Ovis aries: one gene and its partner. The protein of the gene in region 1 purifies or fractionates together with the protein of each later gene. This does not show direct contact. Links are inferred from orthologs where the notes say so. Each region holds a gene or a part of one and is shown in the gene's direction. Other genes may lie near its edges.

Region 1 (3,500 bases):
TTTGCATATCACTAATTTTATATGCTTGCCATTTTGCCTCGTGATATTATTTAACCCAGTATCCAAAAATGTGGTGTGTTTAAAATACTTTAAACACTGGACTTCTCTGGTAGAATAGTGGTTAGGACTTGGCGCTATCACTGCAGAGGACCTGGCCTCAGTCCCTGGTCGGGGAACTAAGATCCCACAAGCCATGGGGTAGGGCCAAAAAAAAAGGAAAATACTTGAAACAAATTGACAAAATGTTTTTATTTTTATTGAAATGAATTTTACCATGATTCATTAGGAGAATTGCCATCTTCAGAATTAGTTTATATAATTAAAGAGTGAATTGAAAACAGAGATGAATACCGTATGATTTTGATTTTTGCTGAAGGGCTAATACTTAAGGGCTTCCCTGATAGCTCAGTTGGTTGAGAATCCGCAGTGCTGGAGACCCGGGTTCAATTCCTAGGTCGGGAAGATCTGCTGGAGAAGGGATAGGCTACCCACTCCAGTATTCTTGGGCTTCCGTTGTGGCTCAGCTGGTAAAGAATCCACCCGCAATGCGGGAGACCTGGGTTTGATGCCTGGGTTAGAAAGATCCTCTGGAGAAGGGAAAGGCTACCCACTGCACTGTTCTGGCCTGGAGAATTCCACGAGCTGGAGCCCATGGGGTTGCAAGGAGTCACACGACTGAGCGACTTTCAAAGATCTAATAGTTTTTATATATAACTTTTTTTTTTAGTTTTTTAAAGTCGTTTTAAAAATAATTTTTAAATCTCTCACCATTAATCAGGTGCTGTCCTACATGTTTTAAGTGTGTTTACTTGGGGTTAAACGTGTACTTAAAAATAAACGAGAGAGCTACTTCCCTGGCTCAGTGGTTGAGACTTCCCCTCCCAGCGCAGGGGGCACGGGTTCAATTCCTGGTGAGGGAACTAAGATCCTACATGCATTATTTTACTTAAAATATTTGCCCTTTTAACTCCAGTGTTCTTGCCTGGAGAATCCGAGGGACAGGGGATCGTGATGGGCTGCCGTCTATGGGGTCGCACAGAGTTGGACACGACTGAAGTGACTTAGCAGCCCCAGCAGCCCTTTTAACTTAAAAATTGTTACTGAAGTATAGCATACATTTTAGAAAGTACACAAATTCTAGATTTATAGCTTGATGAATTTTTCCAATATAAATACAACTGTGTAAGCAGCACCCACATCAAGATACAGGACATTACAAGCCCTCAGAGCCGTTCTTGTGTCCCTTTCAGTGAGCTCCGTCAAGGGTAACACTGCCCTGACTTCTAACACCTGAGGTTAATTTTGTCTGGTTTTGAACTTATGTGTCTGGCTCTTCCACTCAATGTTTGTGAGAATCATCTATGTGGTGTGTGAATTGTAATTCATTCATTCTTTTTTTTTTTTTTTGTCATGCCATGCAACATGTGGGGTCTTAGTTCCCTGACCAGGGATTGAACCTGCAGCCCCTGCATTTGAGGTGCAACAGAGTCTTAACCACTGGACCACAAGGGAAGTCCCTACCAGGCTTTAATTTTTAAAATCTTTTCTCAGGTTATATATAGCTATCTAGCTTACCCATAAAGGAGTTTTTAAACGTGCACTTTTAGGTATTTTAGCTAATGTTAAGTATAAAAATAATATATGTATATGGAAAATTCAGAGTGCAGAAGGTTATACAGTGAAAAGGAAAACTCACTCCTCACACCCCAAGCCCAGTCACATAGCCCGGATGTCCTCACTGTTAGCATTTCACTTTGTGCGTGTATTTATGGCACTGTTCTGGGCCTGCTTTCTCAAGGAACTCATCTCAGATACCAACATGTCAGTGCGTGTAGGTCTACTCCCTCTTTTTAATGACTGCATTCTGTCCTGATTTTGGATCTGCCTTGTTTTATCTGCCCAGTCCCCATTAATGGAGTCCAGATTGCCGTTACCAGGAACAAACTGGAAGGCAATAAGGAATGCTCTCCTGCATTCAACTGTGTGCACTCGTCTAAATATAGCTGCCCTTCGGACATAACTACAAGTGCAGCCCTTAGGTCAAAAGGCCTACGCAGTTTGCATTTTGCTGTGGATAAATGCCACACTGCCCTCTAGGGAAGTCACACAAATTTGTGATCCCACTAGCAAGCATATGGGAGTTAAACACTCAGCTAAAATTGTACTGGTAAAGTGTTGCTTGTTAGTTCAGTCAGATTTATCATCGCTCTCACAGTGTGTACAGTAGAAGTTCAGTTACAAGATGAGAATTAGCAGGTCATTTAAATGTTAATGAGGTTTATATTCTTAGGTTTTTGTGAGTTAAAAATCTTGACTCTAGGGGTAAAATAATTTTTTAAGGAAGGAATTCATGTCACTTTCTCCATATATTCCTTTTTACATTTTTTATTGTGGTAAAGTGCATAAAACATTTGCCATTTTTAAGAGTACAGTTCAGGGGCATGAAGTATATTCACATTGTTGTATAATCATCCCCACTGTGTACCTGCAGAACCTTGTCATCTTCCTCACCCATCAATAATATCTCCCCATTCTCTTCTCTGCCCCTGGAACGTACTGGCGTACTTTCTTTCTCTGTGAATTTGACTCTTCTCGGTTTCCGTGTATGTTTCTCCTATGTTGAAATTTTTCCTCGGAGACGGGAAGAACGCAGCAGGACTCACGGAGATGCACGTGAGGACTCTCCGAAGGTTGCCGAAGCTCCTTCTCTCACACTTCGCTCCTACGTTCAGAGTGCACACTGTTGGCTTGGAAAGTGGACACATGACATCTCAAGTTCTAGAATAGTGCTTCGAATGTGTGCCCAAGGAGTGTTTGCTGAACGGATTGATGAGTTTATGAAAACAGTGGGCCACGCGCTACCACCCAAAGACCCTGACATCTTTGTACCTCTGATTAAACTAAAATTTTTGCATTTGTGATCCCGTAGGAAATTGACATCTTCCGATAACAGACCTCGAGAGGACAGCTGGTTAAAATCCTTGTTTGTCCGGAAAGTTGACCCAAGGAAAGATGCTCACTCTAACCTCCTAGCCAAAAAGGAAACCAGCAGTCTGTACAAATTACAGTGTGAGTCCTAGGTTTGCTATCTTCATAGTTAACGTTTTTCCCTTGGTTCATAAGTTTATCGTTGAATTTTCTTTTGTTTCAGTTCACAATGTTAAACCGGAATGCCTAGAAGCATACAACAAAATTTGGTGTGTATACCAAACTATCCTTTACTTGGGGAAAAGTAATGATTTTAATATTTGTTGGTTGCGCTAACCCTTGATAGCAGAACGAGATCTTTCATGACTCTTCTTAAAGCCGAACATTGAGAGGCTCTTAAGTTGAGCTCTGTGTGGGGTTACCAGGGGCATTCTGATTTTAAGCACTTATTCACCGAAGTCTGCATAGACTGTCAGACTTTGGAATGTTACCAGCCTTTCAGGTTGGAAGGAGCCTTGCCAGTCTGTCCAGTCCAGCTACTCATCCAGTGCTTGAGTCCTTTCTGGAGCCCT
Region 2 (3,998 bases), on another chromosome or scaffold:
AGTGGCACAAATTTATGCCCGAATCTGGCTCTGCCACCTAGCAAATAATTTATATAAATCTCCATGCCCCCCAAATTTTACCTATAAAACGTAAGTAACAATTTGGGAATCGTGAGGATTAAATGAGATGGCGGTGAAACGACCTAGAGGGTCCTCAACATCAGTTTTTGGAATCAATTAATTTATTCCAGGGCTCAAGCGTCTCTCTCCAGCACAAAAACTGCTATTATGCAGTGCAGAGCTCTTGACTAGAAGTTAGTAGACACAGGCTACCACCTGTGGCCATGGGTAAACTGACTCTGATTCTTGGGCTTCACCGATGCAGTGAAGGAGATGAAAGACCAGATGATCTTCGGTTCCCTTCTGGATTAGAAAATGATCTTGAGCCTTGGCTGTCGGAGCCAGACACAGGAAAAAAAGTCACACAACCGTGATCCACCCTCGGAAGAATAAAAGGGGTAAACTCCTGGCCCTGTTCCGATTCTCAATAGCCGCCGACCTGCCTACAGGCAAAATAGGGGATACAACACCACTGGAACACAAGACAGCGCTGTAAACCGACACACACAAGTTCGTTAACTTGCGGTGATAAATTAAAAGGCATAGGCGACATCGTTGCTCGGAGCTATAGTCAGAACGCTAGGCCAAATTACTGCCCAAACTGCACTGGTACCGGAGACCCGGATTGAGAAACTTCCTTCCGCTCCCTAGAACTCCAGGGAGTGGAGACCAGGCGGCCGCGGGCACAGGCGTAGCAGGCGGGAAACTGCGGACCCCGCCGGAGAAAGGGCAGGCGGTAGCCGAGCGCACGCCCCTTCTCACCTTAGGTCTCGTCGGCTGAGTCTCCAGCTGCAGGCAAGGTTCCGGCCCGAATGACAGTACCCGACGGGTACCAAGAGGCGGGGCCTCCCTGGAAAAGACCCCTCGCGGGCCTCACAGGCCTCCCTGCCTGCCCGCCGGCTGCCTGACTGGAAAATACGGAAGGCTGTCCTCTCTGCGCTTTCTTCCTTCCCTGCGGAGGAAGTGTCCTTTTTTTTCGGCTAACGGGGCGTTAGCCGGAGGCGAAGGGCAAGGTTAAGGAGCCGGCGGCACTCGTCATCGGGGTTTCAGTCGCGGGTTTTCAGTCAGGCAGTACGTCGGCCGCCTGGCCAGTGCTAGGCTGCGAGAAGAAAAGTCCTCTACTCGGCTGCCCGCATTTGAAGGGCTTTCCACTTTCGTCCGCTCCCACTCAAGATGGTGGCCTCTCGAGCAATTGGCAGCCTCAGCCGCTTTACTGCCTCCAGGACGCTCCGCTGCTCAGGTGAGGCCTGGTTGAAGGCACCCCACCGCCCTGGGCCAGAGCTCCTGCGGAGACCCGGGAGCCGCGTCTCCCCGTGGCTGCCGCCTCCCTGCCGCGGCCCTGGATGAGGGGGAGTGATGCTGCTATGAGACCCGGTCTCATTCCCTGGCGCAGCGACTGACATTTTCTCTCTCGTTTTGAGTCCTGCAGCGATTTCAGGCTTCGTAACCCCTAACGTCTGTGAGTCTTGTCCACCCGGTCTGGCATTTTCCGTAGGTCTCCTCTTACTTTCTTTAATGATGGCCTTGAACCTGTCCCTACTGGAGGACTAAGAGGACAAGGACAGTCCAATCTGTCACATCTTTGTGCTTCACTGCACCTTGACTGTAACGGGGAGCATCTTATTTACTTCTTGTATGAAATTAACCAGCCTTGCGGATGGCTGCCATTCCCTACGCCTTTCCCTCACAACCTTTTTACCTATTACCACACTAGATGGAGGAACCTGGTAGGCTGCAGTCCATGGGGTCACTAGGAGTCGGACACGACTGAGCGACTTCACTTTCACTTTTCACTTTCCTGCATTGGAGAAGGAAATGGCAACCCACTCCAGTATTCTTGCCTGGAGAATCCCGGGGATAGGGGAGCCTGGTGGACTGCCATCTATGAGGTCGCACAGAGTCGGACACGACTGAAGTGACTTAGCAGTAGCACACTTCAACAGGAAGCTCAACTCTTGCAGCTCCAGTAATTCCAGTGTGAATGTATAATATGTAGAATTTCAAGAGGCAGATTCTGCAACTTTCCAGAAGAAGGACTTAAAAAAAATGCAGATACCTTGTATCTTAAGGAACAAGATGTTAGATAATTTTACCAACTATTTCTACCCTTGTTTCTGACTATACCCAGTTAGCTTGCATTAGCTGTATTGTCTTTTTCTCTTCAAACTGGCAGTGAAACAGTTAAAGTGGGTGCTTGTGGAAAATTAAGCATTTTCCTTCTCTCTCAAATCTGTAAGGTGAAATGTGACTTTTTATCGCATGTTGTACTTAATATCGGTTACTTAACTAGAAATATAATTTATAAAATGCCTTCCTCCTTCTGAATCACTGTATGTTGTTTTTAGAGGCATGCCTTTACTGTAAGGAACTAATTTTGAATGTTTGAACCTTTTCTGCTTTGTTATTTCGACCAGTGTTTTTAGTCTCCACGGGACTGCTCTGTATGTGTGTGCATACCTGTCATAACACTACAGAAAATTGAAATGTTGCAAAGACTGGGGGAAAGGATTAAGCAAAAAATAATCACCCTTTCTCTTACTGCTCACATACCTACTGTTAGTATTTGGTCATGGAGTTTGATTGTTTGATTGTTTTCCACATTTTTGGTTTAACACTTTAAAATTATCAGATGTATATTTTTGAACTTCTCTTTCATTGATTTTAAGGTAATGCAATTAAAATCATTAGTTTTGGAATGTGACTTCTCAGTTTCAATCTGGCTCTGCCTTTTACCCACTGGTGACCTTACCCTTTGGTGACCTTGGGCAAGTCATTTCTATGTCTGTTTTCTCATTTGTGAAATGGGGAATAATACCACCTTGTGAGCTTTAAAGGGCGTATTTTAGGTGTAAAGCAGTTTTTCATGGAGTAAGTGCTATTATTATTAATAAATATTAGCTATTAACTCTTCCCTGCCCTGAAGAACTATGATTTTATATATCTGAGATTTTTTTAAGTAATTTTTACATTTTACATGTGTGATAGTTACAAGCTTAGTTTTTCCGTATTTTTTGTATAGAAATATAGATACACATGTGTATCTATATTTTGCATTCTGTTTTAACCTATAAGAAAATATGGCTGAGGGGAGAGATAAATTGGGGGATTGGTACTGACATACACATGCTACTATATGTAAAACAGATAACTAATAAGAACCTGCTATAAAGCTCAGGGAACTCAGTACTCTGTAGTGACCTATATGGAAATAGAATCTAAAACAGAGTGGATACATGTATGTGTATAACTGATTTACTTTGTTGTACAGCAAAAACTAAGATAATATTGTGTTGATAAATCAACTATACTCTAATAAAAATTAATTTAAATTTTCTTAAAGAAAATATGACTTATTAGTTATTGCCACTCCAGTACTCTTGCCTGGAAAATCCCATGGACAGAGGAGCCTGGTAGGCTGCAGTCCATGGGGTCACACAGTCTGACATGACTGAAGCAACTTAGCAGCAGCAGCAGCCCCTTTTAGTAACAATGTATAAATTTTGAAAAAAAAAAAAAAGGCCTAGAAAGTGAATTTAAAATTACCTGCACCCCTGGATTGCCATTTAGACTGAAAAGACTAACACTAATTAAAAGTCTGTGCCTAGGTAGTGCCAGACTTTTAATGAGACTATGATATTTAATGGTGGATGATTAAAATTCTTCACAGTGATTTGTACTTCTTGAAGTTTTAACCCATTCCTGCATGAGTGCTATAATTCTGAGTATGACTATCAAATGAAGATCACATCTTGATCAAGATATCTTAATTCCCACTTTTATTTTCTGCCCCCCACTCTATTCTAAATCTGAATTCCTAATTACATAAGTAGTAGAATAATTTCTCAGGTAATGAATTGAAGGCAGATATCTTAGCAGATGGTGTATATTTAAATTTGACTCTTACTTACATAATCCTGTCCCTTCACCAGGACCAGATA

The links. The genes of interacting proteins can lie anywhere in the genome.
Region 2: the proteins of NIPSNAP2 (region 1) and HADHA purify together in Homo sapiens (affinity purification with mass spectrometry; 3 studies listed by BioGRID and IntAct, with this or other methods). This does not show direct contact. The link is inferred for Ovis aries from reciprocal best matches to the Homo sapiens genes NIPSNAP2 and HADHA.

Annotation. Positions count from the first base shown.
Region 1 is NC_056077.1:28,171,912-28,175,411, forward strand, and holds part of NIPSNAP2 (protein NipSnap homolog 2), read left to right. Parts: intron 1-2,929; coding exon 2,930-3,069; intron 3,070-3,151; coding exon 3,152-3,197; intron 3,198-3,500. UniProt on the Homo sapiens protein: Protein involved in mitophagy by facilitating recruitment of the autophagy machinery required for clearance of damaged mitochondria.
Region 2 is NC_056056.1:33,460,664-33,464,661, reverse strand, and holds the start of HADHA (trifunctional enzyme subunit alpha, mitochondrial), read left to right. Parts: upstream 1-1,198; 5' UTR 1,199-1,233; coding exon 1,234-1,300; intron 1,301-3,998. UniProt on the Homo sapiens protein: Mitochondrial trifunctional enzyme catalyzes the last three of the four reactions of the mitochondrial beta-oxidation pathway.